2 linked regions of the Lonchura striata genome follow. The protein of the gene in region 2 binds, or shares a complex with, the protein of the main gene of each other region. Links are inferred from orthologs where the notes say so. Each region holds a gene or a part of one and is shown on either strand. Other genes may lie near its edges.

Region 1 (7,620 bases), on a different chromosome or scaffold from region 2:
GCTTGTGTTCTATACTTCCCTCTACCAAGTGGAAAAAGGGAGATTAATAATTTCATTTTCTACCTCTGGTCACAATAATGTTAACACAGGACTGCAACTGTCTGGATTAACAACCCTCAAGAAGTCTATTTACATACATTCCTCAAAAACCTGCTTTAAACTCTATTTAAATAGTAAAACTGACTAAGCCTCAAATATTAAATTCAAAATATCACAGAGAGTTTTGCTTTAAATTCACAAAGCCTTAATTATTAAGGAGTTACATTACATTTTGTCTTTTAGTAAAGTTTAAAAAAATATGTAAAGCCAAGCTGCTGAAGGAGTGAGGAATTCACTTGGTTTATTCACAAATGTAACACTCTCATGTGAAATTAAGTTCTCACCAGACCAGAACTTTGACAAATGAAGCTATAAATTGAAGTAAATAGAAAGAAATGAAGGGAAAAATAAGTTCTATTTTTGTAGCTTTTAAACTATTGGTAATTAAAAAAGGCAATGAAATATCACCACTTTTATCAGCAAAATATTTTCTTGCCTTTTTTTGTAATCATGAGTAGTATTACTACCCTGACATCTATGACCTAACTGGAAAATCTTTCTTTTTTCCTTCTTTAAAAGCAGCTAAAGTCATCTCTCTCCGTGGCTGTCTGCTGAGGCAAATGGATTCCTGGGAGTCAATGGATTCTTTCTACCAGATTCAAAGACAGTGACAGAAAAATAAAAAAGGCAATTTGTATTTTCTATACAGCTGTTTGCACAAGTGACATTGCTGGGCCTGCACCCCTGTTAGACTTTTGGATCAGGAATCCAGGAATGGAAGTGTTTGCACAATGTGTGTCTCTATACACATTATAAATGTGATAATTTCCACACAGTTTATACTTGTTACTATTTAAAACAGATCCAGAGCTTTCATATTCCTGACTGGATTAAAATGCAAGTTTTTTATTCCAAGATTTGCTTGCTTCTAGCTTGATTCCCTTATGGCTAAAGGCTGGTGCAGCCAACACACAAAGGTGCCTCATCTCCTAACTCCAAAAGTTAAAAAAAGACACAAAATACGTAAAAGGCATAAATATACCCAGCTCACAGCTTTCCTGGCAGGATTTGCAAATTGGATGAAAGTTTGGCAGTGGGGCAGTGGTTGAGGGGCTGGTTCCAGATGCTCAGGGCCTGGGAGGGGCAGGTTCTCCACACACATCCCATTCCATGTGCATCTCATGGAGAGCAGAGAGATGGTGGCTCAAACTTGCAGCTCCAAAACATTCAGAGTTGTGCAGGTTAAAGGCAGTGCTTGGAACTCCAAGTGAAGCAAACAAATCCTGCAGTGCATTCCTCCAGTATTAGTATCACATGCCAGCTTAAAATCTGGGGGGAAATGAGCACTGAGGATTGCCTGAGTGAAAGCACATTTGAGTTTGTGGGAGTCTGAGGTTTTCACCAGATTCTGAATCAGATCTGCAATCAGAATCCCAGAATGGTTTGGGTTAGAAGGGACCTTGAAGCTCATCTTATCCCAACCCCTCTGCCATGGACAGGGAACATTCCACTAGTCCCTCACCTCTACCCTGTTCTTCCAAATTCAACCCAAATCTATGAGAAAAGAGGATAAAGAGAGGATAAAAAAGAGGACTTGTCTCCTCACAACCCCAAATTCAGACACATCTCCAGAAAAATATAAGGTAAAATACCTTGTCTTATAATTCTCAGTACCTGAATTTAAAAACAATGCTAAAAATGTTGCAATACAGACTCCAGAGTTTGTATTTCCCCTCTCTACCCCTATGCAAGACTCTCAACATTAGAAGAGCTCTCCATTTACAGTGGGGTCTTTAAATAAAGATTTCCCAGTTTGCTTTCTTCCACTGAATTCTATCAGCCTCTACAATCACATCCAGGGGTGCTTGACTTTGCAGTTTTTGTCCCACTGGTAATAGCCATCCCTGCACAGATCCTTATCACACAGGTAAGATTAAGCAGGATCAAACTCCTTGACCACCTGCCTCTGGAATTAATTGTACACACTTCCACGGAGAGTGGTTTCCTAAAGGTCTTAAACCAGAACATTTACTTCTATGAAGCTTTGTTATAACACACTGCTCAGTCTCAAAACCAAGAGACAATCTTAAATTGAGTAATGGTGTCGCTTCAGATTAAATAAATCAAGTGTTGTGCTCAGGTATGTTGAAAACTGCTTGGGTTTTCACCTCCAGACCAAGAAGTGCAGCACATTATGTGTAACTGAAATTCTTCCTGGAAAAAAAATCGGCTCCTGAATCCAAGGTCTCCAAGAATGTGAAACAGCTCAAGAGAGGAGACCAATATCATGGGTCATGTACATTCTGACAGAAGACTGTAATATCAGAACCAAAACCCCTGTCAGAAGCAAGGTGCACCCTTAGCAAAGCTGTTCCAGGCTGATTTTTTTTGTTGTTGTCGTTAGTACCTCCCTGTATTATCACACTGCAGATGGAAAACGTCTTCATCACAAACCACAGGCATTTATTCACGTTCCTCGCAGAGTCCAGCAGAAGCCACACGTGCAAGGGGACAGCTCCGAACCAGACTCATGTTTAAGGCTGGGAAGGCTGAGAAACATTTTCTCCTCCTCTTACTAAGATTTGATCCTATCCAACACCTTAAACTTGGGCAACGCCCCCCCCCCCCCCTTACCCTCCCCACTCAGGGCCGACCCCCGCCTTCCCCCACACCTCAGGGCCGACCCCCGCCCCTCCCTCAGCCCCTCCCCGCCCCACTATCACCCCCTTATCCCTCAGTCCCCCCAACTCCCTCAGCATCTCCTCCCCCACCTTTTCCCTCAGGCCCCACTCCAGCGCCTCAGTTTCCCCTCACGCCCGGCGAGGCTGAGACTGCGCAGCCAGGAGGCGACCGGGGGAGCGCCCCCCCCGCCGCCGGGGGAAGGCCGAGCCCCCTCCCCGCCCTCATGGCCGCCCGCCCCGGGCACTCACCAGCTTCATCGCGTCCACCGGTTCTATTTACCGGGACAACCCTGCCCGCCTTCCTGCCCGCCCGCCCCGCCGGCCCCGGGGCATCATGGGAGTTGTAGTCCCGCCTCCCCATCGTTCTCAGATAACGTCATGGCCGCCCGACGCCTGCTGGGAGTTGTAGTCCGCCCCGAGCGCAGCCCCGCCGCCCCATTGGCGCGCCGCGCGCCCGCGGCTCTCTGGGAGTTGTAGTCCCGGCGCCGCGGGTCTCCCCGTCACCCTGGGGAGGGGGGAACTACAAGTCCCAGGGTCTCACAGCTGCAGCAGGTGGGGGCTCGGATGTTGATATCAACATGGCGCTTGTCAGACAGACAAAGACAGTCGGTCTGGTGTGATTGAGCCAAAAAAAAAAAAAAAAAAGCCCAAAAAAAAAGAGAGGGAGCGGGCGAGGAGGAGGGAGCGGCAGGAGGAGCGCCGGGCGGGGAGGGGGCTGTGTCCTCGGGGGGCGTGGGGGGGCTGAGGGATTTCCTCCCCCCTATTGTTCTCGTCCCTCCGCGCCCCCCGTTAATCTCCCCTCAATCTGGGGCGGGGGCGGGCGGGGGGACCCCCCCAGTTCCGCCGGTCCATGGTGAGGCGGAGGCGCCGGCAGCACCCAGAGGTGAGTGTCGCGGGGGGATACGGGGGGGGAGCGGCGGCGGCGGCGAGGGGAGGGGGCGGGCGGGTGGGTGGGCTGGAGGGAGGCAGGGCAGCGGGAAGGGGTCTCCCCTCCGCCCGCACCGCCGGGAGTCGCGCCGAGCCGGAGAGCGGGATGTGCGTGAGGGGGGCAGCCGGGGGCGGGCAGGGGTGGGCAGGGGCAGCCCCTCAGCACGGGCGGCAGAGTTGGAGCCGCGGCTTTTGGGGGGCTCCGCGGGTGCCCCGGATCGGGGGAGGAGGAGGAGGAGGAGGAAGGTGTCCCCAGGAGGCTGCAGCGGGAGGGCAGGGCGCCTTTGGGGTTCGCTGCTCCTGCCATTTGTATATCTATTCCGATTCCTCCCATCTCCCCGGTGTGGGGCACGGAGTGGCGGCCGCGGAGCCCCCTCAGCCTGGGTGGGTGCTGCGGTTTTGGGGGTGTTTGTTCGGGTGTTGCTCGCCGCGGAGTTTTGGGGTGAGCTGGTGCGACCCCCGGCGCTGTCTGTCCCGGGGACCCCCGGGGACGGCAGGGGAAGGAGGGAGGCTCCGATCGGGGATGGAGCCGGCTACGGAGCCCCCTCGCTCTGCCGGGGAGCTCTGCCCTGGCTGGGGCTGTTCGAGGGCTCCGGGGGCTCCTTTTCGGCTGCTTTTCGGGAGCTTTGTGCCGCTGGAGGTCGGGGAACGGGGCTCAGAGGTGCCCCAAACCCTGCCGTTCCCAGGCTTCGGGAGGTTTTCTGGGAGGGCAAAGGCGTGAAACCCCCGAAAGGTGTCTGTGTGCCGGAGAGTTTAACGTGGGAACGGGTGGGGGAGGAGGAGCACCCGGAGGAAAGTCATTCCCAAAATGTGCGAGGAGAACTTGGGTGGGGTGTCAGACGCTTGTTTGTTTTGTACTTCTTGGGAAGAGGTGGGGAACGGGGGTGGCGGGTGAATGGTTTTGTGTCCCGTGTCCGGGATGGTTTTGGGTCAGCACGGTTTGACCGCAGGAGCGGTCGGGGGGAAGCGGCAGGAAATTCTGCTGGAGTGTTTGCCTCAGCTTCGGGGTTAAAACAAAACAAGATGCGAGTATGTTTAGGTGCCGAATACACACCCGAGCCAGACCCCGCCGAGTTCCTCGACCTCAGTTTTGTCTGATGGGTTCTTTCCTTTCTTTCTTCTTTTTCCTTTCATTTTTTTTTTTTTCCCTAGTTGGTGGAGTGCCTCTTGGTATGTTTGCAGAGCACTCCTTCGGAATCATTTTGTTCTTTGAGATAGGTCTGGAAAAGCCTCGGTTGGACGTGCTGTTTTTTCCCCCAGTTCTTTCGTGTTAGGGACAAAAAAAAAATGCTGTTTGGGGGGTGGGGAAGGAAGAAGGAAGAGGAAATGAAGGTTTAAGCATGTTTGTGGAGTCGGGTCTGTCTCAGTTCAGGTAACTCTGGGAGTGTGATTCGATGGCTTTTAAGTACAAAACGTTTATGAACAAAAAACCGGGGAGATTTAAACTTTGTAGGGAGGAAAGCGTTAAAGTGATGGCCAGGGAACGCGGATCTGGGAGACGCTACTTACGTCCCCTGCTTCTAACTAGTGGAGATAGAGGGAATGAAAAACTAAAACACTGGGGAAAAATACCCCTGCAATTTGTATAAATGATGCCATGTAAAATACCGGAGCTAGGAATTGTGCTCTGCAGACAATTGTTGGGCTGGTGAAAGCCTGAAGTGCCTGCTCTGGTCCCGTGATATGACTCGCTCATTTCTGCAGGGCTCATCAGGTACAGGCTCTGCTTCCTTCCTGGGATGGTGCAGCTGGCATTTGATTTCCTCCGTGGATGGGAAAGGAGGAGTCCTGTGCAGTTTTTTTTTCCCCGAGATGATTGCATTTTCTTTGGCCTTGCTGTACCCTGCCTCATTAGTAGGAACTGCATCTATACTTATTTACCATTATACCGTGTCCCTTGGGAAGCAGGGTGTAGTTTGGAGTAGGTATATATGGATTTATCACTCCTAATATTTTTTTTCCTCCCATCGTGCTAAGACCAAATCCGTCAACAGCAGAGAACAAACTTAATTTATTTCTGTGTTTCGCATCTCCCTTTTTACCATTTCTCTTCCAAATTGCTAAGAAAACATCTCTGAGATGGAGACGGGGGAGAGGGAGGAAAGGGATGGAAAACGTCTGTGCAGGGATGCATTTGTTATTTGCATGTCTGGGAAAGAGCAGGGTTTGTTTCTGTATGTGAAAACTGGGGTTTGGGAATGTTTTTTCCCTTATGTGAGGATTATTCTTTTAGCCCTGTGATGGCCACAACTTTTTCTGTCTGGTTGAAAGAATTACCCGAGGAGCCTGGGAAGGAGGCTGGGAGCAAGGAACTTGTGTTTCACTCCGTGCTGCCTGTTCTTCCTCCCCTCGTTCCCTCAGCACCAGTGCAAGCACCAGAACAGGCATCAGCATTTTTACTCCTGTGTCATCCCACTGTTCCCAGCAGGTCTAGACGACGTTGTGGTATGCAGGCTGCCAGCTGGGTTACAGGAATGCTATCCTAGGTGAAACAGCAGGATTTTTAAGGAGGGGTAAGGAAACCTGGGAGAAAATCTTGTGTGAATGAGGCCTGGTTTTCTCTACAACTGCTTCACTGAGCGGTGTCAAGAAACTCCGTGGGTTTATTGACCTTTCTGGACAACATGCATCTCTCTAGCATTGTGATTCTGATAATTCCATGGAGTCTGTAGCTGCTGTCAGCTGCAGGGAGCTTATTTTTAAGGCAGTTTCTGTGTGGGTCTTACTGATCTCTTACAAAGGGATATTAAAAGTTGATAGCTGTGCAGTGTTTTGAAAATTAAATTATTATAAAGTGTTTACTTTATAGTGATGAATCCATAGGTTCATGGGAGTGTTTGGTATGTTTTTTCATTGCTGTCTGGATTTGGGAAGAGTGAGGCTCTGAAATTTGTTTTTAATACTAATTTACTTTTTAATAAAATGTATTTTTTTTAAGCGTGACTGTCAAGAATTGTTCTGTCGTTCACTTTTGGGATTGCTCATTTTGTGTTGTGTGTCAGTGGGGCAGGGGTGAAATTTGGGTCTTTGGGTGGAGAATTGGGAAAATTAATGAAACTGAACCATGAGAAAGGAGGAAGCTGTACTGTTCCTTGTACCAAGGGATTGGGGAAGGTATTTGGTTGTATATGTTAGAAACCAAATGAATTTTCAGGAAACAGCAGCACATTTTAATCTAAAGAAAGCAACTTGTACTTCACAGCAATTTCTGTGCAGAGCTTTTAAGGACATTACAGAATGACAGGCTACAGTATTGGCATCTGTAGCAAATCTTTTTCATCTGCAAAGTTTTAGAATTTGAAATCAAAATAATGTCAGCTTAAGAATCTCACTGCAAAAAGACAGATGTCTTTGTTCCTCCTGTCGATAACTTCATGCAGCTTTGATTCTAAAGTCCCTGAAGTTTATTTCACATTATGCTGATTTTAACAGAGCGGGGATTGGATTCTGCATACATGTCCTCATGGGATTGGGCTTTAATTATACCTATGCTGATAATATGATCTGGTGGGTTATCAATGCAGTGAGACCAATACTGTGATTACAGCAGGATTTTTAGGACATAATGAGGAGAATTTGATTTTTTTTTCCAGGAGGGGGTCAGTGTAACTCGTAACCCTAAAGCTGGTTTTATTTGTAGGATTAGTAATAAACTATATTTTAGCATTCTAATATTCCTGTATTGACTAAAGCTCCCTTCTGATTTGTATTAAATTAGGATGGCTGGGTAACAAAGTGTACTAAGAGTTTGTGTCTGAGCACTCAGTCATGCAAACGGGTTGTGTGGTAGCTGTGAATGCAATTCCCAGGGTTAATGCTAAAGATAAGTGTTTTGACAAATGCTTTTAATTTGGGGAACAATGCAAGCAAGAATGACAGGATATGAAAAGAAAGTGCTATTTTTCCTCTCGCAGGTGGCAAACAAAGGTGTAGAGGGATCAACTTGCCCAGGTTCCTACAGGGAGTCCGCAGC
Region 2 (7,287 bases):
CTTCTGTTTACCTAGGTTACCTGAATTATAAGATTAATCAGTTCATCTTTGGTAAGAATTTCAGGAAGAGGGGAAAAAAAAAAATTAGGGTCAAACCCCCCTGCATTGAAACTAGTAAAAAACCCCTACAGGACAAAACAACCCCCCCCCCCAACAATACATGCTGTTATGTATGCAAGACAAGTAAGCAATAAAATTTTATTTGTATCAAAAAGCAAGTGAGTTCAATGTAGAGAACATGGCCAAAGGAAGACTAAAAAAAAGAAGACACAAATATTAAAAGATAAATTTAAACTCAGAATGCTGTATAAAGAAATATGTTTTAATGATATGCAGTAGAATTAAATTAAGGAAATGGAAAACATGACTGTTAAATATGGGGGGAAGTGTTTAATGACAATTGAAAAGGCTACAGAACTATATTCTAAAGGAAACTCCAAAAAATTTCCCTGTATCATTAGGACCCGGACTGATTAAGATCTGGAAATTTTCTTTGTGAAAATAATTCCATACAGAGGAAAAAGTCAATTAAAAAAAAAAAAGTTAAACTATCAGTTTTAGTTCTCAGACCTGCTTGAAGTTGATTAATGCAGCATCTTCCATTCAAGCATGAAGTTTAGGACGGGGGGTGAGGTTTAGGTATATTTTTACGCTTATATTTGATTTTCAGTTTATTGACTTAGCATTCAAATGTAAAGTAAATCTGCACCTTCAATACTACCTTATTTGTCCCCAAATGGGCAACACCAATTCTCTGAAGATGAGAAAACAAATATTCTTAGGCATACATATACATTCATGCTTCTTCATGGATGTACAAGAAATACAAACCTGTATGGAAGCAGGTGGAATCTTTTGGATCATGAGGACAGCAAGAGTACTTCTCCAGCCAGAATCTTGCTTAAATCATTCATCTTGACTCAGGAGAGAAGGTAGAACTGGCTCGCATGGGGCATCAGTTTGCCCAACATATTAAAAAAAGTTAAAAGAAAGATGCATCTATTTTCAGTGGCAGCCTCACTCTGTCTCTCTGCTCAGCTGTGTCAGCTCTGGCAGTAATGAGCATAAGCACTAATATCATTGGGGTTTGCTCCTTTGCAGCCATTCTCCCACATAGATTTATAAATGCAACTCTGATGGCAGTACTAGCCATTATGACTCTCACATCAAGAGACTGATGCACACTTAAGGCTTGGGTTGATTACCTGTCTTTGACAGATTCTTTCTCAGTATTAATCAAATTGGCCTGCTCCCAGCAGCAAAGTACCAACGCCTACCACAGACAACACACACCTGGCCGTGGTTCTGCCCTATAGCAGATCTAATATGGATCTAAGATGCATAGGAGTGGGAAGGACTGATTGCTCCAAATGGCCTCAAAGATAACAGCAAAAGGCATACAGAAAAGTACAGTGAATTAGCTTCCTTGTATGAATCCTACTGGAACTGTGTATAAGTTTTTTCTGTGGGATTCTTCCATCAGTGATAATTACTAGGGCTGAGGGAACTAGAGGTAGAGTGGGTCCAGCTACTTCAGTCTCACTTTTCTCTTGCATTGGCAAGATATTTACAGCATGCCTACAGCTTGCAGTTTTCTAAGTTGACTCAGAATCCATGCTGGTTTAGAACTACCACCATGAATGAACATGGCTTTTTCGCTGATCTCTCTTCATTTACTGGCAACAAAAAATAAAAATAACAAATGGCCTTTCAGGATTTAGGCAACATCTTCATGGTACAGGCTGCTTCCACCATGACATTTTCTTGATATGACAAGGACTCCAAAATGCCTATTTTCCAGCCCTTTGAAAAAGGAACCACTCCAGAAGTTTCCCATTTTTCAGACCATTCCCCAAGAATATGCATGATGTTTTACACATAGAAGTGATTATGATTTTATTAGGATGGTCAACATACAAATATGGCATGTCTGAACAATGTGCCTATCTCAGAAATTTAAAAGGCAGATAATTAAAGGCCATTATCATACCCTCAGTCAACATTACTCCCAAATAAAACTACTAATCCCAAGGCATGATTTGCTTAAGCAGCACTGCAGCCTACAACTTTAATCCCACCACCTTAGGGAGACAATTACTACTCTTCCAGCAACCAGTCTTGCTTAGGAGCTGTTCAAGATACCTTTAATTTTCTTTGGGGACCTGAGGGGACAGAAGGTGTCCCAAAATATCTCTGTGGAGAGAAAATGACTGTGAACCAAGCCTCTCTGATAGTCCAAATGTTTTACTGTGTAACAGGGACTGGCATGCAGCTGCATTGCCAGTAACCCAGCAAAAACCCTCTGTGGCACCTGTTGGTTTTCTCCCTCTGACAAGAGGGATTCAGATTAAACAGTAGAACCTGTACCAGAACAGCCTTGATGCAGGCCATGAGACCCAGTACCACTGCTAGAGGTCTAATAATGAACAGTTGGAAAGACACAAGCAGCTCAAGAGCCACTGGGTACACATGAGCTTGGCCACTCTCATCACCAGCAACATAATCCACAGTGAAAAATAATCATAGTAAAAGAAGTTACTGCCAAAGTTGCTGTATTTTGGACTGCACCAACTCCAAAGATTCCTTCCCAGCTCTCCCAGGGTCCTTAAGATGGGAGATATTTTAACGGCCTTGAATAGTAAACTGGGCTGAAAGGAAGTGTCCTTGATTTCACCCCAAAGCCTAAGAAAGGATGGCACAGGTCACAGGTGCAGCACCAACAGGAAAGCCAAAATAAGCTGCATGAAAGCATAAGAATGAATACCTATTTGCAATGGAAATGTGATTCTATCCCTCTCTCTTCCTAGAAATGCTAGTCTTCCGTTAGTCTTAAAAAGAAGGGAAAAAAAAAAAAAAGATAATAGAAAAGCCAAATCAAGTTCTTGCCTAACAAGACACAAATCTTGCCTGGAAGACCAAGATGAATTAAGCCAGAACACTGCTAATTTTGTCTTGGGAGAGGGTAGCAGCACAGCTGCTTTAAACCTTCTAGAGCAGTAGCTGAGGGAGCACATCAGCTGGATCAGGAAGGAAAAAAAAATCAGTCAGATAGGAAACAGAGCATTCTCCTGAACAGATTATGCTAAGAAATGGCTCTAGAGTTACTGCTCCAAGGCTGTGAGCATAAAGAGCAGACTCAATTGCTGCGGAAAAAAAACCCCAAACCCTAACAAATTGCCAAAAAACGAGAACAGAGATCTTTGCCTTTAATTGGTTAGGAACAGTCCATAATTACAAGATTTATAAGAAGTAAATTTGGAGTGTATTAGCATGGATGAAACCTCAGTATTAATCACTGCTCCTATGGAAGGAAAAAGGTCACAGCTAAGGCTAGCCAATTTTTTATCCCCTAAGGATCGAGTGAGAGGCCAGATCATGTCTTTGGGAATTCATCATCTAAATGGTACCAGACCGTCTTCTCCACCCTAAACCCAGTGGACAAGCCAGGCGACCCCCGTGCTGTCTGCCAGGAGCCGAAGTTCCCTTGAGGAGCGATCCCCCGCTCCCGCGGCGCCGGCGGGGCTCCGCGGACCGGAGGCACTGCCGAGCACCCGGCTGCTGCCCCGCTGTCCCGGAGCCCCAAGGCACTGCCCCGTCCCGCCCAGGGGCAGCACCCGCGGCGGGGGCAGCCGGGGACCTGCCGCAGCCCCAAGGAGACCGGCGGCGCCCGGAGACGGGGCGGGGGGCGGTGCCCGCCCTCTCCCCTCCCTCCTTCCTTCCCACCCCCGTGACTCACCCGCCGTTCCCGGCGGCGACAAGCCGCCAGCGCCGGAGTTACCGCCCCGGCGCTCCCCGGGGGACACCCCCGCCCTCCCCGAGCGGGCGGGTCGGGCAGGGCGCTGCTCCCGAGGGACGCGTCACCCCGCAGCCCTCGAAATAGCTCAGCGAGAGGGGCGGCGGCGTCAGATCCCTCTCCCCGCGGGTCCCTCCCGCGCTGCCCCTCCGCATGCCCGGCGCCCGCAGCGCACCCACGGGGCCGCGCACCAGCGCGCCCTGCCCCGTGTCCCCCGGCCGCCCCCCCGCCCGCGGCTGCGCCTGCGCGCCCCCGCCGGCTGCGGCCGCCCCGCCCCTCCGATTTGAATATGCTAATGAGCGGCTACAGGGTCCCTATGGTGGAGCTGGGAGACAGTCACGTGGGACGGGGACGTGTCCTTGGGGGCGGGGCCGACCTACCCAGGCTGCCTTAAAAGCGGGAGGCGAGCGAGGAAGCGCCTCAGTCAGAGCGAGAAAGTGCTGGGGTAGCGGGGCTGCGGCTGCTCCGCCTGAAACTTCTGAGTAACATCAACAGGGGGAGGGGAGGGCGGGCGGTGGAGGAGGAAGGTGGTGGTGGGGGGAAGGTTAGCCAGCAGCGCAGCCCTATCCGCCTCTCCCTCATAAACCAGCCTGTGTTGGGCTGAGCAGGCCCCTCACACAAAGGAGGGCAGGGCAGGCAGGGCTGCCCCCCCTTCCCCCCCGCCTCGGCAGAGGGGCAGCGGGGAGGCGCCCTTCCCCGTGCACAGCACTCACAGCCACTTACTCCTCTCCCGTCCCCCGTCTTCTCTCTCTCCCCTCCTTCCCCTCGCCTCCCCTGACGGTTCTCCCCTCAGCCCCCCGCCCGCTGTCCATGTAGCCGTCCGGCCGCCGGCCCCTCCGCACTATGCCCATCTTACTCTTCCTGATAGACACGTCCGCCTCCATGAACCAGCGCACCCATCTGGGCACCACCTATCTGGACATAGCCAAAGGCGCTGTAGAGACTTTCATGAAGGTACCGGGCTCTGCCTTGCGAGAGGAGGCGAGAGAAAGCGAGCGAGAGTGGCTGCGCGGGGAGGGGAGGGGGCGGCAGGGAGCGGGGGGCTGCCTGGGCCGGGGGCGCGGGGCGAGGGCGGGAGCGAGCGAGTGCGTGTGAGTGCGGGAGGGAGAGGAGGGCCGGGCCGAGCCGGGGGGCTCCGGCGGCGGCGCCGCCTCTCGGCTCACCCTCTGCTTTGTCCCCCGCGCCGCAGCTCCGAGCCCGGGACCCGGCCAGCAGGGGAGACAGGTACATGCTGGTCACTTTCGAGGAGCCTCCCTACGCTATCAAGGTAACCCCCGCTCACCCCCCTGCTCCCCGGCCTCCTTCCGGCCCGTCCGCCCCGCGCCCGCCTCGCCGCGGCTGCCGGCGGTCCGGGGGAGCGCGGCACACACGGGCTCCGGCGGCGGCGCTGACATCAACATGGCCGACGCTTTTCCCCTGTGCGGTGTGTGCGAGCAGCAATGAACTGTGGGGGATATGTATTCAAGTTGGGAGAAGTGACAGCAACTCCAAGGAGAGTTCGGCTTGGAAGGGGCGAGCCGGGAGAACGACCGACTTCAGCCCTGAGAGCCCCGGACTCGGAAGGGGACGGCACTTCCCTGGCCCCGCCGCGGCAGGGCGGGGGCGACGCGGGGGAAGGGGGCGGTGGGTCCACATGACACAGGACGGTGAACCTGTTGGAGGTCGCTTCACAGCGCAGTTGGCTTCCATCTGGGCAGGGCTCTGGGAAGGTGATGTATATAACTCTAAGGTTTGGGCACCGGTGTCCTCAGAGAACTGTCCTGTGGAACAAAGTGAAAATGCGCCTTTGGTAAATGGGAGTTCTGAGGATTAAGAGAAATGCATCATTTTAGGCTTTTTTGGAGCAACATCAAATACTACTAACTTCTGAGGTGTTTTGTTATCATTTGTAGTGAGCTGCATGCAGCAGGGAAGGCTCTTTGTAGCCTAACAAGAAAGCAAAACTTCTATCTGTGGAATAAATCTTTTCACGTTTCTCTTTGCAGGCTGGCTGGAAGGAAAACCATGCAACGTTTATGAATGAACTGAAAAACCTTCAAGCTGAAGGGCTTACGACTCTTGGCCAGTCCCTAAGGACAGCTTTTGATTTATTAAACTTAAATAGATTAGTAACTGGCATAGACAACTATGGGCAGGTAGGTTGACTGTTACTAGGTGGAAAAATCTTAAAACCAAACTTCCCAGAGACAGCAATTAGCTAGTTGTCCAAAGTGGCATATTCATGGAATATTCCATATGAGGCCAGCTTTTTAGTGTGATATAGCCTCCAAGTTGACCTTTTCAGTTCAAATTTTTCCTTTTTTTATTGAGTGTGTTCAGTACCTTAGCTGGTAAGCCTGATAGGGTTATGAAAACTTTGCTTTCTCTATACAGTGCTGAACAGTTTGGGAGATGAGCCTTTTTTCTAACAACACTGCATATCCAAAAGTACTGGAAGGAGCACTTTTTCAAAACACTGTCTTTCCAGTGAGTTTACCACAACATTTCTCTGCATATGTGTATTTTTATAAACCTGCCTGTTGTATCAGAGCCTCAAGAAGCTGTGCTTTTTAAATCTCGCTGTTGCAGCTATCCCTTTAAAACCGGAGTTGTTTGGTGTGAGCATTCTCATGCTCATGAGCTGCTAAAATACAGACATTATAGTTTAAACATATGCCTTAGGACTCATACAGAGTTCTTTCTGTTGCTGGATCCAAGCCTGGATTTGTTTCACATGAAGGATGTTACTAGTACTTTTCATGTGGGGCATACCAACTTGAATCTCTCTTTTTTGTTTGTTATTCTCATGTAATTCTTTGTCCACTATCTGAGGATTAATACTTAGTTCTGCTTTTGGTATTTGAGATGGGAATGTGGCTGTGAACACAAGTCCCCGTTTTTCCCCCACTATGTCCGGTCTAAGCAGGATTTATCATAACATACCACATGTGTTTATGAAGGAAATTTGTCATGCTGCATTATATGGCTTTACCATGAGATGATCAAGTGAGCCTAAGCACTTTTAAAATGCCTGTTCAGTGATGAAACTTTGAAAAAGGGCTAGTTCCACACATGGGATTTTTTCCTGTGACCATCTGATGTCTTTATACATCTGTGTGTAATTTTCCCATTTTTCTGGTGTTTTCCTTTAGCTACAAGTGCTTTATTAATCTTTCTTGAACACTTAACCCATGTAGGTCCCTACACAAAATACTGCTTTTTCCCATTGCTACTGATAATTACTCTAATTAAACCTATGTCAAATAATTTGCTCTAAGTGAACCAGCTGTGCTCAGCTACTCAAGTGGGCAGTTGAGTTGTCATGATTATTTTGACTCACTAGTAGTGTTTATTACTGCGATAGCTGCTCTTTTGCCTGTGAAGCAAAGACTTCTTCTTTGTCTGATCTGTTCTGATTGTAAGTCTCTCTGGGCTTGAACCCACTGTCACTTAAGCATGTTTTTGCTCCATTCCACATGTGGAGCTGGCTTTTGAAGAGGTATTCACAATGTGCA

The links.
Region 1: INTS6 (region 2) and INTS9 share a complex: the UniProt entries of both Homo sapiens proteins name them as parts of the integrator complex. The link is inferred for Lonchura striata from reciprocal best matches to the Homo sapiens genes INTS6 and INTS9.

The regions. Positions count from the first base shown.
Region 1 is NC_134605.1:111,908,748-111,916,367, reverse strand, and holds the start of INTS9 (integrator complex subunit 9), read right to left. Parts: upstream 3,071-7,620; 5' UTR 2,979-3,070; coding exon 2,970-2,978; intron 1-2,969. UniProt on the Homo sapiens protein: Component of the integrator complex, a multiprotein complex that terminates RNA polymerase II (Pol II) transcription in the promoter-proximal region of genes.
Region 2 is NC_134604.1:63,358,423-63,365,709, reverse strand, and holds the start of INTS6 (integrator complex subunit 6), read left to right. Parts: upstream 1-4,222; 5' UTR 4,223-4,275; intron 4,276-4,338; exon of another isoform or gene 4,339-4,586; 5' UTR 4,587-4,636; coding exon 4,637-4,747; intron 4,748-4,982; coding exon 4,983-5,060; intron 5,061-5,778; coding exon 5,779-5,928; intron 5,929-7,287. UniProt on the Homo sapiens protein: Component of the integrator complex, a multiprotein complex that terminates RNA polymerase II (Pol II) transcription in the promoter-proximal region of genes.